4 linked regions of the Drosophila melanogaster genome follow. The protein of the gene in region 2 purifies or fractionates together with the protein of the main gene of each other region. This does not show direct contact. Each region holds a gene or a part of one and is shown on either strand. Other genes may lie near its edges. The genes, in order: Patj, par-6, l(2)gl and pbl.

Region 1 (7,938 bases), on a different chromosome or scaffold from region 2:
CAGAACTCATACGTAGGGCCGGAGAGGTGGGCTGGGAGTCAGGCACATATTCATGGGCGTGGTGCGAGGCGCTTTCGTTTGACCGCTGCGGCAGAGGCACGTGGTGCTGGTGCTGATGAGGGTGGTGCTTCAGGACCGCCATCGAGCATGAGGGCTCGTAGGAGAGCATCTCCTTGGCGTGGCCATCGTCCAGAGCTGCAAGAGGGAGCATTTTACAATTTGGGTTTTATTACAGATGGCAATCGCAGAGACTTACAAGCGAAGCGCACGCATCGTCTACATAAACACAACTGATCTACAAACAAGACTTGACTGTGAAACTCCGGAACTCCGCGAAATCGCGACTTTTGGTGGCCCGCAGTCACTCGAACGCTTAAACGCTAATTGAAACGCGACTTAGCCGTAACTTAAACGCTATTTACCTTGACTGATCTCTATAACGAAGTTGGTGAGGTCGTGCCTCTGGGCCAGATAGTGCAGCAGCAGTTCGTCCGGGATGTTGAAGCCGATCTTCTTGTTCCGGAACTCGAAGTTGTAGATCCCGAAGGCGGCGCGCACTGTGGAGCGGGATTTGTTAGACATATTTCATTTTTGGCGACCAAATCGCTTGGGGGCTCCGTGATTTGAGCCACCTCCCCCTCTCCGACCAGACCAGTGCTTACCCACGTTCTTTAGGTCCCATATGTTTAGGTCGCGGTTCTCCTGCGGCACCCCGATCATCAGCAGCTTCTTCGTGTCGCGAAACTGAAACGGAATTATGATTCCCGATCGCAGCACCATTTTCAAAGCGCCCACACACGCGATTTATAAAAATTTTCACAAATTTCTCAAGTCCGCTTTGTGCTTGTCCTCCGTAATTGTTTTGGTCTCCGTTTATTGTCGTTCGTAAACAGCGAACTAGTTTCGAGCTCCCCGAAGTCTGGCCACACATCTGCAGTTCCGCGAATCGGAGCGGAATACGCGGCTTATAAGATTTCCTCGAAAAATATTATTTTCTCCCTTAATTTAACGCTTTATCTAAATTACGAAATCTATGCATGTGCAAATTCAATTTTTTTTTAATATATAATCTTAAATGCCAAGCAAGAACTAGTTCCAAAGACGGCTGAACAAAAATAAAAACTCTCGCCTGGTCACACAGTAAAGCTGATTTCATAGGGGGAAAAGCAAAGCAATAGGATTTCGAGTAATCCCGTCCATATGTATTGGAGTTATCCACCTACTGAGCATGCATAGGTTCTTCCAGGTTGTTTCCAGCACTTGATCCGATACAAGAGTTAGCTGCCCGCCTTCACAATGCTCGAGAACTGTCAGCGTCACCACATGCTCCTTGGACTAGGAGCCCTAACGATGGTCACCATACTCGTCCTGTTCGTGGAATCTCGTTACGCGGCAGATGGTCCTCGTCGCCGAGAGCCGCAATTCGTGATCGAGGACAACTCGACCTGCTGGCGGAATGAGAAGTACACGATGGTGCAGGAGTGCCACCCGTGCTCCGAATTCGATATAGTCAGCCGGAGCTTGGGCGTCTGCATTCACACGCACTACAAGGAGGTGCTGCGCTGCCAGAGCGGCGAGATCGTAACCAGGAGCTGCGACCGGGTGGCGCTCATCGAGCAAATGAACTTCTTGAAATTTGAGGTCTCGTGCTTTGTAATCGGATTACTTAGCTACCTGGTCAGTTATGCCCGCGATCGAGTCCTGTCCAGGCGCAACTACATGAGAATCGAGCGACAGCTAAACCGGGTCCAATAGCCCTCCGCCAAATCATCGATTCCCTTCCCCAAGTGATACTCATTGACCGTACGGAAGGTACATTATTTAATTTAGTTTAAGTACATACACTCTGGAAATACCATGTTAAAATTCATTTGCTAATACTAGGGGGTTTAATATATTGCATACTTGTGGAATGCTTGTTTTCAGGGGACAAACACAATTCGGCGTTAATAATATGCATAACATTTTGCTTCGGTAATAACAATCGCTCCTGTACTTCTGGCATCGTTTCTGACATCGTTTCAGATTCTACTGCCTGTTGTTCATATTCGTAGAAAATATCGATTAACTAATCCATTAGTTAGCAACCGCGTTTGATTTGATTTAAAACAGGCTTAAAGATTCAAATGCCTGGAATGTGTGAAATTCTTCGTTATCGTAACACCCTAGTTCCGCCAGTCGGGAATCAGGTCGGGCTCAGCTCCCATGGAGGCACTAGGCGGCATGGCGGGCGGAGCAACTGTGGGCAAGGCTGGAGGCGATGGCTGGGCGTCCAAGGTCTCTTCGCTGGTGGTGCTCGCATTGCTGCAAGCCTTCAGTGAGTTGTCCGTCATGGGCAGTGGTTTGGCCACACCAATGCGCACCACTCCTTTCGAAGCACCCTTCAAAGCCTGCACTGCCTGATCCAGCGAGGCGTTCTCCAGGTTAATGGAGTTCACAAACAAAAGTCGATCTCCGGGTATAAGGCGTCCGTCCAATTGAGCCACCCCTCCAGGGACCAGAGAACGGATTACAATCAGCGTATCGTTGGGATCCAACGGATCTTGATAATCCAGAATAGAGAAGCCCAGACCGCGATCGCCCTTGACCAGCTCGATAATTTGCGGTTGGGACGACCACATAGCCAATCCGGTTAGTGGCTCCAGGGAGCGCGACTTCAGCTTACTAAACGAAGCAGCGGCGGCAGCCACTGAATCTCCATCGGCCACGGAGCCCGCGGTGGCCAGACTACCATCTGATTTGGCCTTCACCAGACGATCGGTAGCAGGCAGCAGGTTCTCAAAGTTGTTGCTTAGCTTTTTCAGGGTGTCATCAGAGAATGGGAGAAGCGAGCTGTTCCTGTTGCGACCGCAAACCATGCGCACATCCAACGGCAGTTCCTTAAGTATAGCCACCACCTCCAGGTGGTTCATACCCAGCAACCGCTCGCCGTTTACCTCCAGCAATTCATCGCCAGAGCGGAGTACTCCATTCACGCCAACGGGTCCATCAGGTAAGATTGAACGAATATAGTGATGGGGTCGTACCTCGCGCCCTCCTTCTACGTCCACGGTTCCCTCCAAGGAAATCCCCAAGCCTCCGACCGCGAACTTCTTGATCTGGGCCACAATCACCTCCACATCGGAGCCCACAATCTTCTGCCATTTGCGAATAATTTCGGTTTCGGCGTCGTCGGACAGTTCCGGATCGGTGTAGTACTTGTGACGGGTGATCACCCCGCTGTTCTTGGCCTAAAACATGTTAATGCGCTATACGTTTTGCTGCTGTGTTACCCGTTAGCTAATACTCACCTCCGTTTTATCCGCCAAGGGTACAACTTCCGTGGGTATGATCTTCGTGGAGCCGTCTAGGGAGTCCCTTACTGCTACTAGTTGCTTACCCGCTCCAAAGGAGCTTAATGTGGTGGTGGTCATTGTGGTGACCGACGGCGGAGTGGTCATGAATGCTTCTGGCGCTGGTAAGGCTTCCTCTTCCAACTCGCGAGTGATGCTGCGTGATGGTGTAGTTGTGGCGGAGGACGTTGTGGCCACGGGCGTGGGCATGGGAGCCCTTGAAGGCGTTCCAGGTGCACTGGATGGAAGCTTGTCATTCGCAGCGATAGCCTGCTGCAGCTGCTCGAATTTGGGGCCCCTCAGGTAGCGTTCCAAGCGCAGGTTCACCACCTGACCAGACTTCTTAAGCAGCTCTACGGCCTGGTGGTTGGAGTAGCCTTGTAGCGACTGGCCGTCAACTTCAATGATGCGATCGTTGACCCGGATGCGACCACTCAGGTCCGCTGCTGAACCGGGCGACACGCTCTTTACGAAAATGCCAGACAGCTCTTCTTTCTCACACACATAGCCGGCAATTGTGATGCCCAGGCCGTTGGCATCCTTCTTCAGCTCCACCTGAAGCTTCTCCGTTTCAGGAAGGGCAAGCAATTCCTCTAGGTCGATGTTTGGATCAATAAGCATTGATGTCTCGCCGCGATAAACGAAACGATCGTCTTCCGTGGTGGTCTGCGGAGTGGAGGCCGTGGAGCTCTCGCCAAAGATTTCCGGATAGCCGGTAGATATGAGGTACCGCTCCAGCTCGGCAGGATCGACGAGGACGCGCGTGGGCACCACAGCAGTGCCCGGTTCCAGGGCGTACTGGGGCGTAGGCACGCTCTGCTCAACGGGACGGGCAACCACTAGGCGGACGTGGGTTCCAGACTGTCTCAGCACGGCAGCCACCTGTTCGGATACCATTTCGTGCAGGTTGACGTCTCCAATCTGGAGGATGTGGTCGCCCGAGCGCAAGCGTCCGTCCTTATCGGCCACGCCACCCGGCAGGATGGTTTTTACAATCACTCCCGAGTTGCGAGCTCCAATAATACCGAATCCGAGACCCGTGCCGTCGTTGACCAGCTCTATGGCCTGGATCTGAGCGTAGTCCGTGGCGTAGAGATCCGCCACTCCGGCTCCTTTGGAGTTCTGGCTCTGCGGGCGCGGCTCCTCGCCGACGCCTCCGGACTTATCTGGACTGCCCGGAGCCGAATGGGAGTGCGAGGAAGAGCGCTGTTCGTCAAAGTCGTACATCACCTCGCCACCATTCAGACTGAGTACAAGGTTGCCGGCCACATCGATGTCGAAGTCGTTGGGCAACATGGACGGATGCTGAGCCAGCTGGGCGTTCAGCTCGGACAACGAGTCCTGCACGTGGACGATGGTGCGGAAAACGGGATCCTGCAGAATGCCCAGAATGGTGCTAAGGCTCTCGGCCGTCTGCATTTGCAGCTTGGGGTCGTCGGACTCATCGATGCCCTTCTTCACTGCCTCGATCTGCTGAAGGGCGCTGGAAATATCCGCGCTGAGGTGCATCTTGCGTCAGTGGGCGTGGTCAGCGAGCGGTGCGCGGTGCGGTCAGTGGAGCGTGGTCCCCGTCTCTATCCCACTTCCGCTGGCGTTTCTATGGACTTCTGGGTGGGGGCGTTGTGGCGTTGGCACACTTTGTCCTAAACTGCAAAACGGGTAATTCGATTTGGGCTCTAAGTGGGACAGCTTCGGATCAGTTACTGTGCCGTTTGGATGCAGCGAGTTGTTTACCCTCTCCTATGCACTCTTTTCGGTGGCCACTTGCTCTGCTGCTGCTGCTGTAATTGATTTTTAATTATCTCTGAAATGGAATGCCAAATGCATTTTCTTTTCACAAACAGCTGATGGACAGGGTTGCCGAGCGGCTGCGTTGTGCATCGATAAGCAATCGACATAATCGGAACAGTTGCCACCTTTTCAAAATCAATTCAAATTCGACCGTTACATCTGCTAATTTAATTAAATCTAAGATTTTTGAATATAGTCTGCATGTGCTCGTATGTAATATGGCTATACGAAATAACCCAACAACATCTATCCTTTTAAACGCAAATTTTGAATTTAATTTCTCTGTACGCACAAATATCTGTGTTCCAAATACGGAAAAACAATAAGGTGTCTGCCATCAAACCATGTTACGTTCCTCCTCCTCCTCCAATTCTATTTCGAGCTTGCGGAATTCGCGGAAGAATTCGCGAGTGATATGCTTCATATGTGGAGTCAAGTACTTGGGAAAGATATCTGCAGAAGAAACAGAGAAACTATCAGAAACTATTGAAACCTCCAACAGAAAAGGAAAACCCACAATCAAATTCTATAATGAGATCCCCGAACTGCTCCACCTTCTTGTTGGCCTCCTTGATGGCCGTAACTGCATCCAAATTGCGGCACTTGGGGAGTCCCTCGAGGGGAACCACTTTGGTGTATCCCGGCTGCACTACGTCCGTAATGACCACCTTCAACTGGCGCCGGTCCAGCGTGCAAATGAAGAACGTGAAGCCGGTGAAGGCCTGGCACAGGCCAATAGACTGCCTGTAGACCAGGTCGTGTTGGTTTCTCCTCTCAAAGTCCGGATGCGGCTTGTCGGCGGCAATGAAAATAATATCACCCGGAATGGTGGCCGGATAGCGATCGCCCTCCTCCTTGAAGCAGAAGCGAGTTCCGGCCGTAGTTCCCGGGGCAATGTTCAGCTTTAAGGTGTGCTTGCGCTTCTCCAGCCGCGACTCCTTGGCGTCCACGATCTCCTGGCGCCACACGTTCATCAGCTTGACGCAGCCAGTGCGTACTTCCTCCAGCGACAGCTCGATGATCCTCTCCGTACTGGCGTCCTTGGAACGCACGCCAATGCCATGCTGGCGCGTAGCGTACAAGCTCGGTGGATTGGAGATCGCATCGATCACGTTGGCATACGGCGAGTAGCTACCGAAGACCCGCTCGTAGACCTTCATGTGGTCGCCGTCGTACTGATAGGGCGGAAAGTATCCGTTCGGCAGCATGACGCCCTCGAACAAACCCGCCTCGCCAAAGCGATCGTATATGGCCCGGTACAGATCGTTGCCCAGCACATCGAAGGCCATGTTGACGTAGGCCCACTGCCTGGGCTCGCCCATGGGTGAGAGGTGCGTGAGACGACCCTCCTGGGCCAGCGGCACAAAGTCCTGCTCGTCCTTCTTGTCGCGATGTGGGCAAAGCCGAATGGCCAGGCGGCGGTAGGCCAGAGTAATCTGCTCCTTGGTGGCGCCTCTGGGCTGATCCAGCACCGCGTAGTAGTCCAGCTCCGGCCGGTTCATTGTTTCTATTCGGAGTCGAAGCGTATAACAACTGGCAGAAGTGTTCACAGAATGTTTGACGTGTGACTGAGAATTTATTCAAATTATATACAATAACTCAACTGACGCAGGATCTGGCTATGGATGAAATATGCTTGTGGACAAATACATTAAGATTAGAGCTATGGTGTAGATGGAAACGTGGCGGCGATCAGTCAACGTCCTCGGTGCTGACGCCAGTGTAGATGGGCTCCTCCTTGGCTGCACTCTCTGATTTGGCATCGTCGGTCTTCTCCTCGCCACCGGCGACGTCATCCGAGTCATCTTCCTCCTTCTTGTCACCCTCCAAGTCAGCGGCATTGGGCACCCAGAGACCAGAGTCCACACAACGCTTCATGTGCAGCTTGGCGACGTCCACGGGCATGGCCGCAATGGTCTTCTGCAGCAGCTCTACGTCGCGGGACTCGAAACAGGCCTTTAGTTCCTGCGGAGCAAATACATGAAAAGTTAGTCAAGTAATTCCCATACAGTGAATCACTAGAACGTACATCGGGCAGGGATTCAAAGACATCGGCTGGGTCCAGACCACCAGGTCCGAGGCGCTCCTTGCGCTCCTCCTCTTCGGCCTGGGCTATCGCCTCCTGGATCTTCTCCTGCGCACGCTTCTGGATACGTCCTTTGAAACCTTCGATCTCGCTGTCGAACTGCGCGCGGTACTCGGGATGACAGTGCTGGATCTTTGAGAAGAAGGAGCTGACACAGGCGCGAGGATCCACGTCCAGCTGTTTGGCCAACTCTAGAATGTACTGCATGCAAATGCACTGATGCGCCACGTGGGCCATCAGCTCGTGCTTCTCCTCCATTTCCAGGTTGATGGACCAAATGACTAGGTAGTTGGCCGTCTCCTCGCCCACCAAGTGAAGATGCTCCTGCAGAAACCGCTTCGAATCGTCGTACTTGCGCAGCATGCCATACTGCTGGCAGAGCTTCTCGTTCTCCTTGACGAATTGCTTCATGCGCTGCTCTCGCTCTTCCTCGGACAGATTCTCATCCGGCTTGCGGCCGGCCTTCTTGTTGATTACGGTCTTCTCAAAGCCGGGCTTGCTGATGGTGTCCACGTTCCAGGGTGTTTTCTTTTCCTTCTTAATCATCTCGCTCTCGATGCGGTCCAGCTCTTTGCCCTCGGCCTCGATCTTTTCGAGCTCTTTCTGTAGGCGATACAAATTAGGGATTAAGCATTGCGATGAAAGATGGATGGCCACTTAGGATGATAGTCAATCATAAGCTTGACAATAAGAATAAATTAGATGGATTGAGAACATAGGGAACTCCCA
Region 2 (8,556 bases):
TTCACGAGGCCGATATCCTGCGGTAGGCTCATCCAAATCCAGAAGCCCAATCAAATTGGCAGTATGTGTCGGTGTCCTGCGTGTGGGTGCATGTGTTTGTGCGTGTGCGGATGCTGAATGTGCGTGTGTGCTAGGGTGATCCGATATGTGGGTCAGCAATTCATTAGGGTGGCCCACAGCTGAGCAGCTGCAGTCCATGCTCGCTAAAATACCCCATTGTAATCTAGGCTCACTTCGAATTGAATAGATCATCCTTAAATTCCAGCTTAAAATGTTATTTTGCATATATCCCATCTTTTAAACAAAAGAATCTTTATTAGATTACAAAAATTATAGCATTACCAAACAAAATATTCCAAGTAAGATCCTAAGTCATCGCACTTCAGCCGGGAAACTCAATACTAGTAAATAAAGCTATTATTAGATGTACATAGTTTTTGCTTCCAATGCATCGAGTTACCTACAGGTGACTGCGTAAAATGTGCATTTTTTATACACACTACGCAGGATTGCTGTAATAATTGCCCCCTATAAACAGCACCTTTTGACTTTACAGCAAACTGAAGCATCCAAACATCGTGGGATTCCGTGGCGTTATCACCAATGACGAGGGCATCAACACACTGGCACTTGAAATGTGCACCACTTCACTGGGCTCCATACTCGAGGAGCGACACGACGAGGATCTGGGCCCGTTGCCGGCCAAACATACCTATAAGATGATCATGGACGTGGCCCAGGCACTAGACTTTCTTCACAACGAAGCTCACCTCATGCACGGCGACCTTAAGTCCTTTAATGTCCTGGTCAAAGGCGAGTTTGAGATTTGTAAGCTGTGCGATTTTGGAGTCTCTCTTCCGCTGGACGAGCAGGGCGAGGTTAATTTCCTAAAGAATCCCGGACTGCGCTATGTGGGTGAGTTTACTGACCCCATATGATATAAATAATTTCACATTCAGTCAAATTAACCACTTATGTCTTAATATTTTAGGAACTAACCTCTGGTGCGCACCGGAGGTCATAGACGAAGTGGATGTTATTGACAGCAAGGCAGACATATTCAGCTTTGGCCTGGTTATCTACGAAACCCTTGCTTTGGTGCCTCCACATACCTTGGAGCTTGATGCAGCACTGGGAGAGGATATGGACAGTTCGCACGATTTACCCACCGACACGGACAAGCTGCAGTGCAAACAGTTGGACTTCTCCAGCGATGAAAACAAGAACGGACTACCTTCTGCAATGGAAGAACACACAGACAACGATATGAGTCAAGATTATGACGAGGAGGATGATGAGGAGGAGAAGGAAGAGGAGGAGGAAGACGATGAAGAAGATGATGACACGAAGGAGAACGATATCTCTTACTTTACACTGAATAACCTTCATTCCGCCTATGGTACACGACCACCATTGCCAGTGGCCTTTCAACTTAGCGACGATTACAACTGCGTCGTGGAGCTGTTTTATCTGTGCACAAATGCTCTCAGCGAGGATCGTCCAGCGGCCAAGACCATTTGGCAGTGCCTGGAGAACAATGGCGCAAATGTTGCGACAGAAAGCGATTAGACTGATAATCATTCTCAGCCTCCGAACTCCACAATCTTCCTCTTGAATATAATTTGATTAGATGACTCATTTTTGTTTTGAATGTACAATTAATTAGCTATAATTTTTACCCTGTAAGAACAAACCAATTACGGTTAAAGCCCCAAAACGCGAATGCACACTTAAGCAAATTGTACATATTCAGCAAGCAAAAGAGTGGTCGAATAAATCGAATCCCCAAATGGAACAAAAACTATATCGTTAACTGGTTTTTTAATTCGCAGTCTTCAAAAGGGTATATGTAAGATCTTTTTTGATTAAGGCCCGGCTAATGTATTTAAATTGATTTTTGTAAGCTAAAAATAAGTGAAAGCAATTCAGTTGAATTGAAAAGTATTGCTTACAGAGGGAAACAATTTTTTCGTTTATAAATGCAGGAACCGAATATCATTTTTAACTTTTTTGTATACTTTAACGCCTCGAATTGGTTGTGATATAAACAATAAACTTACATTGTTTTGCTATAGCCTCCCAGGAAAAAACCAATTACACACCAGATCGGTTACAAGTTCTCTTAGGTTTATTAAAAAATAATAATACATACATCAAAATATAAGGTTTTCTTTCGTGATTTGCTTTTCGGTCTTTTCAGTTGCTTAGCGGGAATACACATTAGCTTTTGTATATATATATATATACATGCGTTTGCTTGGAAATCGGGATATTCTGGCGACTTTTGTTCGATGTAAGTTCAGATTTCTCGATAATGCAAGGGTATATGTGAAATGGGTATATGAGGGGAGTGGTTGGGCGGCGATACGCATTTAGTTATAGTTTCAGATTCGCTGCTGTCTATCCTAGATCTTGCTATCTACCCAGGGTACACGTTCGTATGGGGTTAGTTATGCCCGTTGCGACCCATAAATATTAATATTGTTAACTTCAAGTCGAGCAGATCGCATTGCATCCCATCTGCCGTGAGTGGCGTTTTCTCAATTTTACTAAAGCGAATACACAGACTTCAATTCAATTGTGTGTACAGGGGTACGTACATAACATAGATTGTATTCGTTTATATATTCTCTTGTATATATATAAAAAGTATCGAATTGCTCTCTTGAAGGCGAAGGCGCTGTTGGTGTTTCGTTTGTATCTTAACGTTTTGTTAACTTTATCTCCTCGTTTTTCTATCCTTTCTCCATAACTCTAAGTGATGACAATGACAACAAAGAACTTGGACGAGTATTGGACACAATGACGAAAAAACAAAAGTTAAAAATTACAAATGGTTTTTAAAATAAACAGATATAATGAGTAATGCCGAAAAAATAAGAAATTGAGCTAAACAAAACATAGCAGATATACGCAAAATGATCGGCTCAAATTAAAAACAAGGCTTACAAATCAGGAAATATAATTTTGTTAGGCTTTTCCGACTTGTCACAGTACATAAAATGGAATGTTTTTTTTTTTTATAAATTATTCGTGCTCGTATATGTGATTTTGTTACAATTATTGCCGTTTCAAATGGTTAAGTTAAATAAATTGATCTGCCTTCAGCATTTGATGCCCTCTCTCTATTTCACTCTCTCCTCTAGCTGTCTCACTCTAGTCTAATACAACAAGCAAGAATAATAACAAGACGTAAATCTTACAAATTTAAATACACATATATATATATGCCAGGAAAAAAGATAAAAACAAGAGACTGCATTCAAAAACGTGCAAATGAATAGGTGTGTTTTCTTTGACTTTGAGTGTTTCGTGGAATGTATGGAGGAAAGTCGTATGATGATTACACATGTATATACAATCGTGTTTTATATATTGCTCACCTACAATCGGACTGGAAATTTTGCAGAACGTTAAATTTGAATGGCCAGGATTAACAAGAAATGAATGGGATATGGCCGATATGTTGTTTACTCAATCAATCAGGCTTTCAGGCTAATACCAATAGATTTTATAAGGTGACTTTTCAAATCATGGCTGGTTGAGCTATGACAGTCGCTTTAGTAAGTGAGCGATATACAAGCGATCAGTGTACATGTGAATAAGTTGGCCTAACTTGTATAACTTTAAATAATTGACTCGAGTTTAACGAACTTATTCGATCTTAAGGAAAGTTAAGTCTGATAAACTGAAAATCCTCTGCACTTCTCAGCGATGAATTCGCGTTTTCCGTTGCTTAAGTTCTGGCTGCGTCTGCTGGAGGTGCTGTATCGCCGGGTTAATCCTACAAATGCAGCACTCCATCCTTGACATCGCTGGCCATTATCGTGGACGCATTGGAGGCTGCCTGCTGGTGGTGCGACGAGGGTGATGAGGATAATGGCGGCTGATGGTTGTGATTGCCGGCTGACGTGGACGTTGGACTCTCGTCGAGGGTGACGCCCGTTAAGTCCACAATATCGTCCTGATCGTCGTGCTCGATCTCGTCGGAGGTGTTTGTATTATTAGTGTGATGTGACCCACTGGACAGCTGGCTGTTCCTTGAAAAGGATCCGCGATGTGTGGACGTCAGTGTGCGCTGATTGGCCGGCTTCACGGTGATTATCAGATTGGAGCTGTTGGCCACCATCATGTCGGTGACTTGATCCAGAGTCTTGCCAGCCACTTCGATGCCATTTACCTCGATCACCTCATCGTTGACGGCCAGCAGGCCAGTACTTTCGGCCAGACCGCCCGGAACCAAACGGGATATAAAAATGCCCGGCTGCTTCTCTAGCCCACTGGCCGTCACCCTGACAGAGGTGCCATCCCGTATGTAGAATCCCAGGGGCTTATCGCTGCCGTGCTTCAGTAGCCGCACTCTTCTATGCGTTTCCGGCACTATATCCACATCTATAATGGCCGAGACTTGACGGAAATCGTGCGGTATGGATATCGATGGCGCCTTTGTCTTCACTGGCGTATGGCCCATCAGTATGCTGCCGATGAGGTTTCTCGGTTTCATCGTTCCAAAGCCAGAGTACTCATTAAGATCATCTATAGAGTGAACGAAAAGATTGTGGTTGAGTGGCTCGTATTGTATCTTATGCATACCCATACTCACCCTTTCGCTGCACAATGACCCGTAAAAGTGGACGTGCTGTTTTCAGGGCCCGGCCGAAGTTATCGTCGTTGTTAATCGGCAACAGATCATTGTCCCGCGGATCGATGTAGAGTATGAGAAACTGGATGTTGGTCAGCTTGTGCAGCTGCTCAATGAGGGATGCGAATTTGTCGAAGCTCTGCTCCGCCTCATTTCGCTTGAAGCTCCACCTCCGAAACTCTGCATCGAACTAAAGGATACGTATTGATTAGTAAAGGGGCTGAATCTTTTGAAACCCGTATAGTTTGTTCATCAGCATCACCTGTTGATTCAATTGTATGCAGACATTTTACTAATTTAATGGGACCTTCACTGAATTGCAGTACATCTACTGCCTTATAGCTATTACTGGAGTTTATCTTGAAGAATTGTACCTTGACTAATTAATAACTGAAGTTTCCTTCTCTGTAAAATTACAGAAAATGAACGAAACAGGGTAGTTTTTGAGTAAGGCGCAACAGATTGGTTTTCAGGCAAAGAGCCCAAGCAATAAAGGGTGTTGCAACAATCCATATCAGAGCTCAGGAATTCCGACAAGTAAGATGCATTCGCAAGGGCAAATTGTCACTTTTGGGGTGCTTCTAAGATGGAAACCAGTTGCTCCTCACACCTCGCACTCCAAGCATTAATCCCTGCTCTGGCCGCTTTGACACAATCGAGCTCAACAGATAGGAGTTCCCAAATTGGTAGACACATTGCTCCTCAGACTAAAGACCCCCTTTCCACGCACAGAACTCCAATTTAAGCTATTAATCCCATTCCTGAGCGCATGAATCAGCAGCTCAGCGCCGCAGAAAGGGGCGTGGAATCCGGGGGCCACGAAAGTTAGGACTCACCTTCGATTTCACCTCGATTAGATTCGTGTCACTGGCCGCCGTTGCGGACGTTGTGTTTATCTTGTTCTTCGACATTTTCTCCGATCCGCCCGATCAAGAGTGCACTGACAGTTTTCCTCTCCGTTCCTCACACACAACACAAAACACGGCAGTTGAGTTCCGCAGATTCTGATCTGATCTTCAGGATCGAAATCGAACCGATACGCCCGATGCGAACCGAAACCGAACCAAAGTGCAGCGTACCGATGGCGGGGAGCGACGATAGTGGGGGGCCGCCAATAAATTAGAGTTAGAAATCTAAATTAAAACTAATTAAATAAAAAAAATGGATGGATGAACCTATCGGGCACTATCGTACTTCGATATTGGTAGGCACTATCGGTTATCGGATGGTAATAGATCCAGAGTGACCGTGGGGAATGCAAAACCAAAATATACCATTTCAGTTTTCTAAAATACCACAAATATGCTATAAGCAATAGATTTAAACAACAATGAAAGTATCTAAAAAGACTTAGAAATAATAATAATTTGTTTTCAATATAGCTAGCAAAGGTTTTGAATTTATCACAACAATAAGTTTTTTTTTTTAATAACGGTATGTTCTTTGTTTGTTTTTAAATATTTCCCAGAGTAACTTAGGCATGAACCGATGTTGTGCATATATCGATATATCGATAGAGTCTGAGCAGCCATGTTGCTGCGTTAGTGTAGAGACAGTTTGTTTGTGTGGGCTGGGTGGATCTTCAGATGCGCTACATTTGCAAAGTGGCTGCTGTTTGCACGAAAAAAGAGGCTTAACTGTTACAAGACAAGAATTAGCTATATTTAAATGCTCAGTTTTAATCAAAGACGTTTTTTAAATAAATAAATAAAAACCCGCTTTTAAATCGAAGGCAGGCAAGACGCCAGCACGAATATGCCCCAATTGTAGCGCAGCGCCAGCGACGAGGGTTACTGTAAAATGAAACTGTTTTTGTGTGTTGTTGTCGAGCGTGAAGTGTCCAATTAGACAACTGAATTTGTTTAGATGTGAACGCCAGAGTCGAGATAGGTCACACAGCAGCTACGACAAAGTTGAGCGAATCGATTTCAAAACAAAAGCAACCAACGAAACAAAATTTTAAGTCGCTAGAAAAACTAAAAATCAAGATTTTCGAGAGGAGGTGCTATACCAAATACATATATATATATAGTCTTTAAACGAGTGCGTGTGAAAACATAAACCCAAACAACAGACAAGGAGACTAGCGGGGCCAAAGGAAGCATAAGGAGTCTACACGCAAAGGAATAGTTAAAGCCAGCCCACAACGCACATATTCATATATTTTGGGACCACTTTTCCAAGGCAGCTGGGAAAAGGCGGTGAAATTGCGACTATCCGAGAGCCGAAGAGCTCAGCTGCAGGAATAAGCTGACGAAACTGAAACCTTGAGACAGCGATTCGCACGCACACCAGCGCAGGCCCGCATCAACACAGACACACACACGCACAGCAGCAGGAAATTCAGACATCATGAGTTCGGTAGGATGAGCATGTTCCTCACATAATTGTTAGCATTCTAATAATAATAATACGAAACGATTCTTAAGAAGTTGTATCCGTGATTGTAAAGAATCCTATCCAACAGATGCTTCTTAATCTTATGAATGGTTTAGTAGTGAGAGCTTAAAATCGCGTCCTTACAAATACTTTCCAGCATACTAAGAGTATGAATTTCATTAATAAATACCCTGTTTGTGGAGACATGTGATTTTGTTAGTTAAGTTTGTATGTAATAATCCTTGCCTACAAGTACTGTACTGTACTTGCCATCCATTTTTAAAGTTCGTATGTTCCAATAAGTACAATTCCAACTAGAAATAATGACTCAACCCTGTCATTAAAATCAATTTTTGTATATATAAACTTTTGCCATTCCATACTAATGCCATTCCCCCATTTGCAGCAATACTCGAATGTGGAGAACCTGTCGCCGCAGACGATAAGGCAGGTGATGAGGGAGCTGCAGGAGATGGAAACCACGCCACCGGAAGGCATCAAGGTGCTAATCAATGAGAGCGATGTGACGGATATTCAGGCATTGATCGATGGACCTGCTGGCACTCCGTACGCCGCTGGAATTTTCCGCGTCAAACTGACGCTGAACAAGGACTTCCCGCTGACGCCACCCAAGGCGTACTTCCTCACCAAGATCTTTCATCCGAATGTGGCCGCCAACGGGGAGATCTGTGTGAACACACTAAAGAAGGACTGGAAGCCGGATCTGGGCATCAAGCACATTCTGCTCACCATCAAATGCCTGCTTATTGTCCCGAATCCGGAATCGGCGCTGAACGAGGAGGCCGGCAAGATGCTGTTGGAACGATACGATGACTACTCACAGAGGGCGCGCATGATGACAGAGATCCATGCCCAGGTAAATTAGGGGTTTTCCCTTCTGTTATGATTGTGTATCATTGGAATACTAGCATAAGGTGTTGAATGATCCCAATATGATATTGTTTATCACGCTGCTTTACACACTTAGCTCATACATATGTATATCTTTTATTTTAGCCTGCCAAATGCGGTGTAGGCGCTGTTGGCGATGCCAAAGACGATGGTGGACCCTCGACGAAGAAGCATGCGGGCCTGGACAAGAAGCTGCAGGACAAGAAGAAGGAGAAGTTGCTCAAGGAGAAGAAACGCATGCTGAAGAGATTATGAGAGGCATAAGGCGGAGTTCCATGGACTAGCTAATCAACCAGGAGCAGTAAGTAGTAAGCAGTAGCAGAACACGTCGGATACGTATGAATGGATAGATGTTAAAGAATGGATGAGTGCGAGCGTAAACCCTACAAACAGGTGAAAGGCGACAGGATCAAAGCTAGCAAGGTCGAATCAAAGGAGGAGGCGCGCTATGAAATTTTACACTGATCTGATAAAAAACAAAACAGACAAAAAAACAAGTAAATTGAGCTACTGAAATTACGAAGTAACCGATGAAACCCGAACCCTGGAGGCCAATATCGGAACGGAACGGAAGTTAAAGCTGCAACAATTTCGGTAAAACGAGAGAGATAAAGAACCACTCC
Region 3 (6,988 bases), on a different chromosome or scaffold from region 2:
AAAATTAAAAAGGAACTTGTATATTTTTTCACTCTTATGAATAAAACCGAGAAATTAAATTTAGGTAATACTATTAATACCTTTTATAGATACGGACGATACGTTTAATATTATTCTGGTATACTTTAATCAAAATTTGTTTAACAAAAAGGGTTTTACATTCTTGGTCATAGGAAATTCAGTGGACAGATAGATCTTGGCTCCCAAGATTTTCCAAACTAGTTGTGCTTATTTTCTTAAAACTTCAAAGATTTGCATGTAGGCAGTTTAATAAACATGTTTGTACATATGTATATGTACATTAGGAAAAATGAGATGCAAGATGAGCGATCTGTACTCTTTGCAATGTGTATGTATGTACATATGTACCTCCCTTTAATGAACTAGCAATTCCGTCACGCACACGAAATATTTTTTTATTTGTAAATCTTTTTTTAAGTTTGTTTAAACAATTTAGTTACTATTAAAGCTCTGAAATTCATAAATAAATAATAATAAATGTATTAATTATGACAAAAAACAACTTAAAACATATACGTTTATTTTTGTAAAAGCGTTTTAGGCAAACGCTAGCTGGTCGGTACTAATATTTTTTCGAAGACTGTATACCGTATACATACATTTATGTACGTAGGTATGTATCCGTGAGTAAGCTGAGGTGCAAAACCGTATCACCATTTGCTTTTCGGCTGATAACCAATACCAAGTAAGTCAACTGTTTCCCAAATGTATCTGCATAACAAGGTGATGACCTAATTTTGAGTACATACCGATCTTTACAGTTGACCAGCTTTGCGATTGCATACCGGTATCTGTTTATTCACATATACACACACAAATTGCGTGTTAGACAGACAGCAAAATGACGACTGTTAACTGTTGGCGTGGCTGACTCACCGACTACGCCTCTATGCTAAGAACATACATATTTGTGGACACTTTATTTAAGAAGTTTGAAATATAAATCAATTGCCTAATCAGTAATACTGTTGTTGAGCCCTTTACCTTTATGTATTTCCGTTTGTACGGTTAAGGCGGTGGCCGAGTAATTTTTTGAACTATTTTATTTGCTCACCAACACGCATAAGTTTGTATGTATTCTTATGTTGAGAAACGCCCGCACTGTTCTTCACATCGTTGCTTTAAATGAGAATAAATGAAATAAACGTGTCAACCAAGAACACACAGATAATAATACGACCGGTCAGAGCTTAACCGTGTATCTGTTTTATAAAACGTGAACAATATTATTAGCCCAAAACGATATGCGCGTCATTTTAACACACACAAAGTCGCGATCGGTGGGTCTAGTGTGCCCGTGTATCTCTATCGAAAAAATCATATATTTTTTAGAAGGTATATTTTCCATGACTGACTGGAATGGGTGGAGAACATCGCTTTGGGAGTGAAACTCCGCTATAAATTGTCATTTGTTTTTATAGCAACCTTTTTGATATGGTCGCCAACTTTTATATAATTATAATAATAATTTTTGTAATTAATCACCGCTGTCGCACGAAAAATTTAGGAAATGTGCCAACGAGCGGAATTTTTCGGAACGATCGATGTTTTACCATAACCTGCTATATAAATTGTGAACCACATTTTCAACACAAAACTAGATGTGCTTCATTTATAACGCAATGTCGTGATTTTGTGGGCAGTGTGACCATGTCCAATCTGCGTTCAAGTAAAACCATATTTAGTGACACAAACTTTCCATTACAAAATACCAAACAACTTTAAATTTGTTGTTGCATCAAACTTTTTCTTTCTATACATATAATATTGCGGGTGTATTTGGATTTCTAACGCAGTTACAGGCGAATAAACTCATTTTCTTTTGACTTTAAAATCTTATCAATTTTACGCCGTCTATGACATACTTATTTTGTACCTGAAATAAGGGTGTTTGTGAAACCAAGCCACTTACCCAACCCATTAGGTACATAAACGCAATCTTATCAGCTCCCCCCTCTTTCTGGAGCTGGATGGCGATTACCTCTGACCTACTTTTATTTGTTGAATAACATGTTTATACTAACATAGGATAAAAAAAATTTCATATACGTATATTTATTAAACTATTATGGTAATAGGGAAACATCTATGGTATATTTAATTCGAAAATATTTAAAAGGAATGGACAACATTACGAGCACAACGATATAATAGAATTTTTAAAGTAGCCAATACACAAAAATATGCTGTGGAAAAAGACACTCACAAAATCAACCAAGCTTCAGGTACCTCCTCATATTTGGCACCGCATAGAAGGAGTGCACAAAAGAAACGAGCAAAAAAGCACCGTAACCTTTTTTATGCGGTGCTTTGTGGCGCGAGTCTACAAAATACTGTGTGTGTATGCGGTTTACTTGTAGTTGCGGTGGAAAAAATTTACCTAAATGTTAATGCCCAAAAGTATGCACATAGGAGAAGACATAACAAAAGATTCAAAAGGAGGTATTTATTTATTCCTCATAAATTATAAGCTTTCTTCTAACTTCCATAAAAATGTATTTACCACCCAAGATCAAAATAAATGACCCCACAAAATATACCAATCGGCTACAAATACTTAAAAAAAAAAAAATAGAACGGAAAGAGAAAATTGTTTGTTTTACCTTACGATGTAGCGTTGTCTGTCAGCACTGGGCTGCTGCCCTTTTCCTCTGATAAACTTTAACATGATTGGTTATGCTCTTGTGGTGGTTTGGTTTTGATGAATAAATAAGTATATTAATTGTGGCCGAATTTATTCTAAACTGAAAATAATAATAAAAATTAATCAAATTTTCAATAAGTAAAAAATTAAAAAGGAACTTGTATATTTTTTCACTCTTATGAATAAAACCGAGAATTTAAATTTAGGTAATACTATTAATACCTTTTATAGATACGGACGATACGTTTAATATTATTCTGGTATACTTTAATCAAAATTTGTTTAACAAAAAGGGTTTTACATTCTTGAAGTCATAGGAAAATCAGTGGACAGATAGATCTTGGCTCCCAAGATTTTCCAAACTAGTTGTGCTTATTTTCTTAAAACTTCAAAGATTTGCATGTAGGCAGTTTAATAAACATGTTTGTACATATGTATATGTACATTAGGAAAAATGAAATGATGAGCGATCTGTACTCTTTGCAATGTGTATGTATGTACATATGTACCTCCCTTTAATGAACTAGCAATTCCGTCACGCACACGAAATATTTTTTTATTTGTAAATCTTTTTTAAAGTTTGTTTAAACAATTTAGTTACTATTAAAGCTCTAAAATTCATAAATAAATAATAATAAATGTATTAATTAGGACAAAAAACAACTTAAAACATATACGTTTATTTTTGTAAAAGCGTTTTAGGCAAACGCTAGCTGGTCGGTACTAATATTTTTTCTAAGACTGTATACCGTATACATACATTTATGTACGTAGGTATGTATCCGTGAGTAAGCTGAGGTGCAAAACCGTATCACCATTTGCTTTTCGGCTGATAACCAATACCAAGTAAGTCAACTGTTTCCCAAATGTATCTGCATAACAAGGTGATGACCTAATTTTGAGTACATACCGATCTTTACAGTTGACCAGCTTTGCGATTGCATACCGGTATCTGTTTATTCACATATACACACACAAATTGCGTGTTAGACAGACAGCAAAATGACGACTGTTAACTGTTGGCGTGGCTGACTCACCGACTACGCCTCTATGCTAAGAACATACATATTTGTGGACACTTTATTTAAGAAGTTTGAAATATAAATCAATTGCCTAATCAGTAATACTGTTGTTGAGCCCTTTACCTTTATGTATTTCCGTTTGTACGGTTAAGGCGGTGGCCGAGTAATTTTTTGAACTATTTTATTTGCTCACCATCACGCATAAGTTTGTATGTATTCTTATGTTGAGAAACGCCCGCACTGTTCTTCACATCGTTGCTTTAAATGAGAATAAATGAAATAAACGTGTCAACCAAGAACACACAGATAATAATACGACCGGTCAGAGCTTAACCGTGTATCTGTTTTATAAAACGTGAACAATATTATTAGCCCAAAACGATATGCGCGTCATTTTAACACACACAAAGTCGCGATCGGTGGGTCTAGTGTGCCCGTGTATCTCTATCGAAAAAATCATATATTTTTTAGAAGGTATATTTACCATGACTGACTGGAATGGGTGGAGAACATCGCTTTGGGAGTGAAACTCCGCTATAAATTGCCATTTGTTTTTATAGCAACCTTTTTGATATGGTCGCCAACTTTTATATAATTATAATAATTTTTGTATATATAATCATAATAATATCATATAATAATCACCGCTGTCGCACGAAAAATTTAGAAAATGTGCCAACGAGCGGAATTTTTCGGAACGATCGATGTTTTACCATAACCTGCTATATAAATTGTGAACCACTTTCTTAACACAAAACTAGATGTGCTTCATTTATAACGCAATGTTGTGATTTGTGGGCAGTGTGACCATGTCCAATCCGCTTTCAAGTAAAACCATATATTGCCACAAACTTTCCCATACAAAATACCAAACAACTGTAAAATTTGTTGTTGCATCAAACTTTTTATTTCAATACATATAATTTCATGTGCACTAAAGTGATTATTTTGTATTTGCATTTAAAAATTTCTGTGATTAATTGTCAATACGGAATGTATGTGAGGAAGGATTGCCGTCGTTATCCATCTGGTCCATAAATTCGTCTAAACGCTGCAGAGATTCAAGAGCTTCCCGAGATTCTTCGTCTTCAATATTATTTAATTTTGCAGAACTGTTTGGAAACTCAGTGTGGACGATGTCTAGCTGACCATGATCTGTTTCAGGTGCCCCGTAGCTTCCGTATATTTCCCGAAGCGTTGCGCGGGTAAGATTTAACTCGCGCATTCCAAAACTCATTTTTTGAGCAACCTCAGCAGCCTCGCGTCTATTGGCCTTTCGCTTATCATGGGAAAGTTGCTCGGCATTAGTGCGAAGCATTGACCCACTTGACGCCGACGACCAAGAGGAGGCGGCCGACTTGCGGGAGCGCTTGATTATTTGGCGGCACTTGTTGGTAATCCCACCGACGATCTCGGATACCAGGGCTGTGGCTCCTAGAAAGTAGCCCAGTGCCATGAGCAGGAACATTCCTTCTGTGTCCGCTGTAGTCAATTGGCGCTCTTCCTGAATTATTTCGCGTAAGGAATTCGAAGAACTTGCCTGGAGCAGGCGTCCTGAAGATGATCGCTGCATGACCCAGCTTACCTCGTTATTGATTTTTGCAATAAGACCACTTTGCTGGGCAAGTAATATCATCGAGTCGATTTTGATTTTATACACTGACTCTCGGGGAAACAGAAATCCTATTTGGAAAAGAGCAAAACACTCTTCACTCAAATGAAGCGCCGATCGGCGGGAAATATTTCTAAAAGAGGATATCGTTTACGGTGGGAAGATTAAAAATAAAGGATCGATCTTACTCATCTGAAAAATTTGACTGCACCAGGTATTCGAGCTGAGCCTTTGAGCCAAGAAAGGCATAGTTCCAAAAGAAGCTCTGGGTAACGTTGCCAATGCCCTCATCTACGGACCCGACAAACTCCATTTTCTTGTACAATCTAGACGTCGGTATATGGGTCGAGTTCTGGAACCAGGTCTCCCAGCCACCATTGTCTTTAAGTAAGAAGCCCAAATATTATATACAAATGTAGCGAGCCTAACCTTTTCTTACTCAGGGTTCCAACGCGAAAGAACAATCCCAGCAGATCCAACACAGAGTCAACGGTGTCCGGAAAAGCTGGCAACGTTACGAATGCTATGATGGAACCTGTGTAGCAAGATGTAATGATAATTGTAAAGAGCCAATATGCTCCAATTAGAAGGCGTGTGGAATTTTTCCGCGTGTTGCTCCACGAGTATTTTCCGGTGAAGGAGAAAGCGTTTGTGAACATGCCAAATACATACCAGAACATGTTTTCTACCTCACCCCAATTACCCATTAAATGGCTAAGTGTCAAACGGTCGGTAAAAACTATCGGAAATATTCCACCGAGGTAAACGCAAATCAGAGCGACCCAGACTGGCCATTGGAACGGTCCCATTATGGCTCTGTATTTCGGCAGCGCCTTCGATGCAAGTGTTATGAAAGCTGCACAATCGGGTGAGTGCCCCACCGACATGGCTGAGTCCATCAGCCGTTCCTGTGTTATATATATACCGGACATACCAATGTCTACTGTTCTTTCTATAATCTGTTCCTGGATGGTGTCTACTACCCCGCGCGTATTCGACCGTGTTGGGGTCTCAGTGATATCTATCGAAAAGTTTAGCCGCTTAGATATCATTGTCAGCAGACGAAATTCAACTCCGTCCCAACGCAACTGGCCCATTCCTGAGGAATCTAAAGTGCGAATTCGAAAAATAAACGGCGGCTGATTTGCGGCTGAAATTTGAAATCTGTGTCCCGCAAACCCAAATTGAAACTTCGATGGGAAAAGATTTATATGTGGACGTGACAAAGCTCCCTTTATCCAGCTGGTTAGCACTACCGGAGTGTTTGAGCCAAGTCCATCTGCATAGAGCTTGTGGGTGTAGAGTACGTATGGGCGCTCCTGTGTGAAGCGCATTATTTGTTACAAAAACGTATCCCTATTAAGCAATACTCACGCGCATCGGGTCAGCCATGAGCGATTCCCCAATAACTAGTAAATTTACAATGTTTGAGGATAGCTCCGAAGACAAAAAATCACGAAGTCTCCATTGGGTGGACCTTGAGACAAGAACTACACGACTTTCAGTTTGCGGGCCTAAAATCTTTCGCGTCATTAATGGGTCCGAAAGGAAAAGAATGTAGCTTTTGCAATTGCAATCTATATGGCTCGTAAAACGTTTATTTTTTGCTTCGTAGTCTGCATTGATTTCCCCGTGGTAGAAAGTAATAGGAATAGTCTGAAAAGTAAATAAAATTGTATTCATACCCGT
Region 4 (7,195 bases), on a different chromosome or scaffold from region 2:
TGCTGAAAGATACTACTTCAAATGAGTTTATGGGCATCGAGCAATCGTAACTTTCTTTCCACGCAATACATACGAAAGTGTAAACAAATCGAAATGTTTTGTAGCAAACTACACTGTTTACCCAATTCAAATACCCCGAGGAAGGGTATGCAATCGGAAGGAAGCGGGCAGAGGAGCCGTGTGGTATATCTGGCGCATGGCTGACGCTGTCAATCTTGAAACTGGTGGCCAACGAGTGGATCCACATTGGGGCTCTTGGAGCGAAGATAGGTAGTATACTCGTGCGTGTGTCTCGATTTCAAACTCAATTTGCTGCGGCTCAGCATGGCGATGTGATAATGGCTCTTGACTGTTCAGGCATCTCTTCATAGCCAGAAAGAAGAGAAAAGTGGGTTGTACAGTAAGGAGAAGGATGTGGGGGCGGACAGCTGGACACATGTGACAGATTTGGTCTAAATTAAGCAGCCTTATTGTTCCTCAGCTTCTGGCCGAGTTATTATTAGTACCAGTGACTAGTTATAGGTTCTAATCGTACTCACCATTCCTTTTGCTTGTGTATCGCCTCGAAGCTGGCACCCTCGAAGTCATCCAGCACGTAGAATGTCCGCCAGTCCGACGACTCTCCGAGAATGTCCAGACCCGTGTCCGACGTAACGATGGGCAGGCCAAAGGATTCGGCTGCCTGCAGCGTGTCCGCATCCTGGCCAACGCCTCCCACCAGGCAGATGCGCGTGGGCAGCGTTGTTATGGACATCTCTGGATGGGGCGAAATGAATGGGTATAAGTCATTAAAAAATCAGAAACATGCATTGTGTGCTCTCAAAAATCAGAAATGACCAATGGCATGGGGTTAAGTGCATGTCAGGCGTAAATCAAGCAAATAAATATGCCGTTCATAGGTGTCGATCAAAAAGGGGTTTTTCCATTCAATCTTACATTATATAAAATACTCTAGACTATCACAATATAAAAACCAATGCGAAAATTTAACACACATTATTCTTAGGCCAAAATACAGTATTTTTCCGCTTATTTAAAATATTTGTGATTTATGAATGTTTCCCAACAAAATCAATTTTAACAAACTGCTAAGAAAATAAATATTTTATTGGCAGCATAATTAATTACAGTTCGATATCCGTGTGACCCTTCAACAACCCATACACTACTTTCAACTCGCTTCTGTTTACAGGCGACTGGAGAAAAGATTTTGTTTGATTAATGGCTATTTTTTGGATTTGTTTGTTTATGCAATTGAATGTGCTGTGAATAGGGGGAGGGGGGGAGGGGGTAAAAGATCGAGGGAAAACTGTGCAAAATAAAACAAAGAAATGCGAGGAAACAGAGCAGAGCGGCTAACCAAAATAGAACCCCTTGAGGATGTATAGTAAACATGTACACTACAGATCGAAGATGAAGAATGGAGGATGGCGGATGGCGGATGGCGGATGGGGGCCTGGTCAGCAGAAGCCGCAGCATTAAGCTGCCAAATTGCGAGCTGTTGACAACAATTTTAATTGTGCCGATTTCTTAGACGCCGAAATGAAGCGACCTTCGTTATTGCCATAGTTTTTGACAGGCAGCGAAAGTAGAGTATTCGAAATGAGTGAGAATGGACTTGGGGGAATGGAGAATGGGGAATGTTTTCAAGTGCAAATCATTTACCCCCAATCGACATGGACACAACCACATGGAGCAAGTGGAGACCACTGACGGCGGTCGGCTTTGTTGCATTAATTTTATCCAGAATTGTGCAGCTGTAACCGATGCCAATTGCATCTATATACACTTGTATCTATATCTGGCGAGACATTCGCCACTTGTGCAATTGAACAAAGTCCAGGAAAATGCTGAGGAAGAACTACAGTTCGTGTCGTATTCTCATCTCTGACGTCTCGGAATTTTCAAATAGATATTCCAGATATGCATTCCCAAAACAAGCGATAAACAATGCAATTTACCTAATGGAAATCGTGGCGATTTATGGACTAACAAAATGTTTATAAGGTAGGAATATCACTGGAATGTGGAATCCAATAAAAACCAGTGATACGGAATGTGCTCCATGGGAATTCAGAATTTGTAGAAGATTGATATGGGTATTAAAACGCACAAATGTCCACATCATTAAATGTGAAAAAAATTGTTTGATTTATTCAATTCGAGAGGCTTTTAGCGATGAAAAGTCATATATGCTAATTCTGCGAATAATTTTTTATATGAACAATTTCTTTAATGATGCATTCTAAGCTATTAAACGAAACATATTGTTAAGTTTAATGCGCCTTATTATTTCCACGAATTGCTTGACTGGCATTTAAATCAATATCACCTTAACATGACATCGAATGCTTTCCTCGGAAAGTAATATATTTATTTATGAAATACATAGTTATTTTTACTGTTCCTGCACCTTTCCCAGGTGTTTGTCGATGGTCTGGCTGAATGGATGGATGATTCACGAAAGACTTTACCCTACTTAAGTTTCCCTCTGGCGAATATGTTGCTCTTGCTTTTGCGCATATTCAACCCTTGGAAACGAGTACCTGAAGGGGTTTATCTGGGAATCTTGAAATACCTGTAAAATCCTCGTACACCTGACACAAGGCGGCCTGTCGAAGCTTCGCCTGTTTGACCTCCTCGTCGGCGGCATATGTGAAATAGGAGGCGGATTGTCGCTGAACCGTGACCACTTTGTTGCTCTTTTTGCCCAAATGGTTGCCAAAGTTGAACTGCACCAGCGGTAAGTGTAACATTTTGTTCGCAGATCCTCAAGGATCGGGCTCTAAAACATAACTAAATGCAAGACGAGCTCAGGCTGAGGGAACACCTGAAATCGCATTTTGCATGGCCACAGGTGGTAGCTTCTTCGGTTCAAACAAGAAGAAGAAGGTATGTAAGTGAGGTCAGGAGAAAAGGTAAACGCAAAATGGTAAGCAAAATTTCCGAGTGTGAGAAAGTGCCGAGACTCACAGGTGGCGGCCACCATTTTTCGCCATTCGGGAATTTCCTTCCTTTTTGCCCGAACAAAATCCGCTGTTGTTATTTATTTTCTACTTTTCCTCGCTGGCTGCCTGCCAGGGAAACGATGAAAAACTAATTGAGTGGCATCTGAGAAATGAAAAGCCATCGGAAGAAGAGGGCTGTGTGTGTGGGTTTCTGGGCATTCAGCCACGCAGCGAAAAATGTCCTATGCGAAATCATAGTTAACCCAAAATGACAATTTTTGATTTTTACTTAAATTCTCGTGTCTATTGCTTTTGACCTAGACCTAAAAGCATTTTTAAGTGACAATGAAATCCAAAAATAAAATATTTTATGTAAAAAAATTGTGTTTTAAACGAAAGACGTTTTGTAATTTTGGAATAATATTTAGAAAATTACTTTAAATCTCTAGAAAAAAAAACCTCAGTTTACCTGCAAGTTTAAATTATACATAAAATCAACCAATTTCTCGCTGTGTAGCGGATTTTGTCAAATAGCAGAGCAGAGTCATCAAAGAAAAATCTTGTAATAAAATTACGTACGTATCCCGCGGAAGCCTTGACGTAGGCGAAGAGCAGATTCCGAAGGTCTGCGGGCCATGTAAAATGCCATTAGCATTGAGGGACGGAAAACACGGACTACAGGCTATATAGTCATAGTTGTATGGGCATGTGCGCCCTGTCAACATGTGTAAATGGAATACGAGGTAATCGGCCAGCGGGGTAGGTAAACCACCCGGAAAGCAAGGATCAAGGATTCTGTGCAACAAGAGGAGGAAGTAGAAGGAGCGAAGAGCCTGTCGAGCAGGATAAATTCTTCTTCTTACCTGGCGGCAAGTATTAGAGCGGAGCAGACAGAATAAGTACACAAAGATATCATGTAGAGTTGATTTCAAAAGTATCTACATACATATGCACATTTAAAGGCTAAATAACATCAAAGGAGAATTGATTTTATAACCTAACCAAATTATAAACTTTTAATTGATATATGCTTTATTTGCGCCTCAAATTCGGACACAAAATACATTAAATGATAATTTTATTTGTTTATGCCGCGCGCTGGAAAAATTCCTGCCGTACAACATATTTACACGTATTTTTTAAGGCAATAACCTTTGAAATTGTGTGGTATTTGCAGTTACACGTTCTCGTTGCGGAAATCGTAGGCTTATGGAAAGTATAACAATTTTAATTGCCTAGAAACAATTTTGTTTTTAGTTAAATAAAAATGTTAAAAATATAATAAAAACTTTATAGCAGAGATTTCTCTTTCCCATCAATACCTAAATCTATCTTTTGTTAATTGTTTACTTTTTTAAGATTCGATAGTTTCTTGTTTACTTTCTTTTATAGCTACAACTCCATGGCTAAAAACGGCTGAATTCGCATCAATGATAACAGGAACTGATCGCTTAAATTGTTGTTGCTTGTCCTTTCTTTTTACTCTCACAACAGTTAGGGCGCCTCAGTTGTTGTTGTTGTTCTTGCTGTCGGTACAGTGTCGCCGAAGAGAGGGAGAGTGAGGGGAAACGATGATGAAGAGAGGGAGGCATTTCGCATTTATGCGATAAATATTTTCTACACCGAAATAAATTCAGAAAAAAAGATTAAAATATCTGCGACACGATGCCGTTGCTTTTTTAGTCACACAAATACACACAAAGATGTACTTATAGTCGTTGTTATTTCATTTTATTTTTTTGCATTTGCTGGCAGCGACATTTTTTATGAGGATCTTTTGGCCCCGAATGTGGTTTTACCCCGTACCCAACCCCTTTGGGCGACATTGAAAAATGATAAATTCGCCGGCCATTTGGAGCTGCCACGCCCCGCGCCCTCTTTCAGTACTCACCGCACTTCGATTGCTCTTCAATGGTCTCCATTTCCATGGATCTTCTGCAGTTACTTTTTTAAGGCGAACAACTCGTGGAACATACACAAAAACACACACCAACAGAACTCGAAACACAATAGAACGAACGCACAAGGAGACAAATAATTCGTTTGTACTCGATTCGTTTACTTTCATTAACTGGACGCTGTTTTCATGCATTTAGCGCGCATCATTTCCATGTTTGTTTGTTTTTCTACTTTTTGTTACAATTTATTTATTATTTAATTAAAAAGCGGCGGCTCACGAAAACACACACACACAGACGCGCATAGGCAGCGTCGCCCGGTTCTTCGTCCTCTTGTTAGCGATACCGCGTACCTGCTTTAGCAATTTAACCAACAAAATGATCAACAATGTAAGCGAATTGCGCTCAACGGCTGCGCGTCGGAATCACAAATCAAAACTCAACGGACAAACGCGTCTGTTTCGAATTTTTTTCGCTGTAGTGTGCCGCGCAGTGTAACCGTCGCGGGGGCGCCAAGAAATACGCGCAAATGTGATGAACGAAATACCAGAATCAATCGGCGCTAAATAATGGTCACACTTGCAAGGGGTTGAAGGTATTCCCTGTAATGCTATATAACTAAATTAAACGACTATGGCTATAAAATAGTTGTAAGCTGCACTATATTAACAATCAATTAGAACTGTTTTCTTCGTTTAAGTTGTTTTTGGCCTGTCGATAAATTAAATTTGGTAATATCCTACTATTGTTGCAGTTGTAGCCTCCAATCATATTTTTCATGCAAGCTATATAAGCTACAGTTAATTTTATGTATGCTTGCTCATATATTTAATAAATGAATGCCTAAAACTACTTGCTTTTGTGCTACTTTGTTTAAATATACGCGCTTGATAACAACGAGTTGACCGATAAATACTGCTGGCGAAGTATCGATACCAGTGACAAGCATTGCCACTACGTCCGCACTTGTTGCTGTATCTTCACGCTCACGCACACTCGCACACAACCATTACGTCAATATGGCAAACAATCTGTCAAACGCGCAATTACAACAAACACAGTTCGTTCGCATTGACAGTTGGTCAATAGGTCCATCCAGGATTCGCTGAAGTGGTGAAGATAGCCAAGGACTGCAGCTGGCGTGGATTGGCAGAGGGTAATCCAGAGATCCGCGCAAAATGCTGCCACAAACGCCGCCGCACGGATTGAAGGTGATGTCGGGAGCGGAGGAGAACCGACACTATCTGCGCGCCTTCATCCAGACATACAGGGATCTGCCCGTGCTGTGGGACACATCGCTGCGGGACTACACCAATCGGGAGAAGCGGGCGGAGGCCTATTTGCGCCTGGTGCCCATATACCATTATCTCAAGCGGGACGCCACCGTGGAGGATGTGAAAAAGAAGATCAACACACTGCGCACGAACTACCGCAAGGAGCTGAAGGTGGTGGAGAGTGCCCTGCGATCGGGCAGCCTCCACAGTCCACGCTGCTGGACCTTTCAGGAGCTGGACTTTCTGCGCAACTCGGAGAAGTTTCTAGCCGTCAATCCCGCCTTTAAGAACGAGCCCAACTTCGCCTTCGGTGAGAGCAGCAATTGCCCGAGTGCGTTTCTGGAGAGCCAGGGAGCAGCCCTCCATTATCCAGCACCACGCGCTGGTGGTCAGACGCCCAACATTTCCGAGATGTTTCACAAATCATTTGGAGCTCCGCCACCGCCACCGCCAGCAACCAACCATGTGGATTATGGGAGCAGCAAGCGAGCCAGGCAAACGCCGCCATGTACGGGAGCAGGAGCCGGATCTACTGGCGGTCCTGGGGCAACAGGCACCGCCCACAACACCGACGAACTACTCAACATAGCCTGCGAGTATTTGGCTGGCACATATCCGGAGGAGGAGTCCATCGCCCGCACCTGGACGCACAAACTGAAGCGACTGCCGCGCGAGCAGCGTCTTCTGGCCGAACGTTTCATCAACGAGATTCTCTTCGAGGCCGAGTCCAACAATCTGCATCGCGGATCTGTGCAAATCAACAACAGCTTCGAACCCTACGTTCGCTACGAAGAAACGCCAAATGGTCACGAGGAGCAGGACAAATCACAGAGCCCCAGTGTGCACACCTCCAGCGAATCCAAGCCCAATGTGTCGGGAGCGAGCGGAAGCGGGGGAGGAGGTGGGCCACCGGGCAGCACCACCACCAGTGCGGGCATCAGGGAGTTCTAACTTTAGTTTAGTTACTAAGTGTTAAGTTTTTATTGGCCGAGGGATAAATGGCAAATGCGATCAATTTGGCTCAACAATGAAAATCAACAATAAATAAACCTGTAAATAATATTGAGATGACTCT

Evidence for each region.
Region 1: the proteins of par-6 (region 2) and Patj purify together in Drosophila melanogaster (affinity purification with western blotting; 2 studies listed by BioGRID). This does not show direct contact.
Region 3: the proteins of par-6 (region 2) and l(2)gl purify together in Drosophila melanogaster (affinity purification with western blotting; 5 studies listed by BioGRID, with this or other methods). This does not show direct contact.
Region 4: the proteins of par-6 (region 2) and pbl purify together in Drosophila melanogaster (affinity purification with western blotting; one study listed by BioGRID). This does not show direct contact.

What each region holds. Positions count from the first base shown.
Region 1 is NT_037436.4:1,796,052-1,803,989, reverse strand, and holds Patj (patj), read right to left. Parts: upstream 5,188-7,938; 5' UTR 5,067-5,187; exon of another isoform or gene 5,037-5,066; intron 5,009-5,036; exon of another isoform or gene 4,981-5,008; 5' UTR 4,842-4,980; coding exon 3,291-4,841; intron 3,231-3,290; coding exon 2,166-3,230; 3' UTR 1,806-2,165; downstream 1-1,805. Other genes in the region: CG42676 (uncharacterized protein), read right to left, coding at 423-557, 663-780; JTBR, read left to right, coding at 1,297-1,755; CG12020 (uncharacterized protein), read right to left, coding at 5,461-5,576, 5,641-6,625; Cdc37 (cell division cycle 37), read right to left, coding at 6,816-7,088, 7,153-7,812. UniProt on the Drosophila melanogaster protein: Involved in cell polarity establishment. Probably participates in the assembly, positioning and maintenance of adherens junctions via its interaction with the SAC complex.
Region 2 is NC_004354.4:17,700,648-17,709,203, reverse strand, and holds par-6 (par-6), read right to left. Parts: upstream 5,853-8,556; 5' UTR 5,554-5,852; coding exon 5,479-5,553; intron 4,833-5,478; coding exon 4,604-4,832; intron 4,537-4,603; coding exon 3,785-4,536; 3' UTR 2,108-3,784; downstream 1-2,107. Other genes in the region: CG8173 (uncharacterized protein), read left to right, coding at 1-22, 557-915, 992-1,569; CG8188 (uncharacterized protein), read left to right, coding at 6,995-7,003, 7,428-7,898, 8,039-8,188.
Region 3 is NT_033779.5:17,256-24,243, forward strand, and holds the start of l(2)gl (lethal (2) giant larvae), read right to left. Parts: upstream 4,122-6,988; 5' UTR 3,811-4,121; intron 3,719-3,810; 5' UTR 3,576-3,718; intron 2,766-3,575; exon of another isoform or gene 2,761-2,765; 5' UTR 2,690-2,760; coding exon of another isoform or gene 2,630-2,689; 5' UTR 2,625-2,629; intron 1,316-2,624; exon of another isoform or gene 1,006-1,315; intron 914-1,005; exon of another isoform or gene 771-913; intron 1-770. Other genes in the region: Ir21a (ionotropic receptor 21a), read right to left, coding at 4,664-5,432, 5,488-5,680, 5,739-6,618, 6,674-6,955. UniProt on the Drosophila melanogaster protein: Essential for the development of polarized epithelia, for cell polarity associated with asymmetric cell division of neuroblasts during development, and for oocyte polarity formation.
Region 4 is NT_037436.4:7,906,583-7,913,777, forward strand, and holds the start of pbl (pebble), read right to left. Parts: upstream 5,373-7,195; 5' UTR 4,877-5,372; coding exon 4,840-4,876; intron 2,757-4,839; coding exon of another isoform or gene 2,579-2,756; intron 757-2,578; coding exon 540-756; intron 1-539. Other genes in the region: CG8281 (uncharacterized protein), read left to right, coding at 6,025-7,071.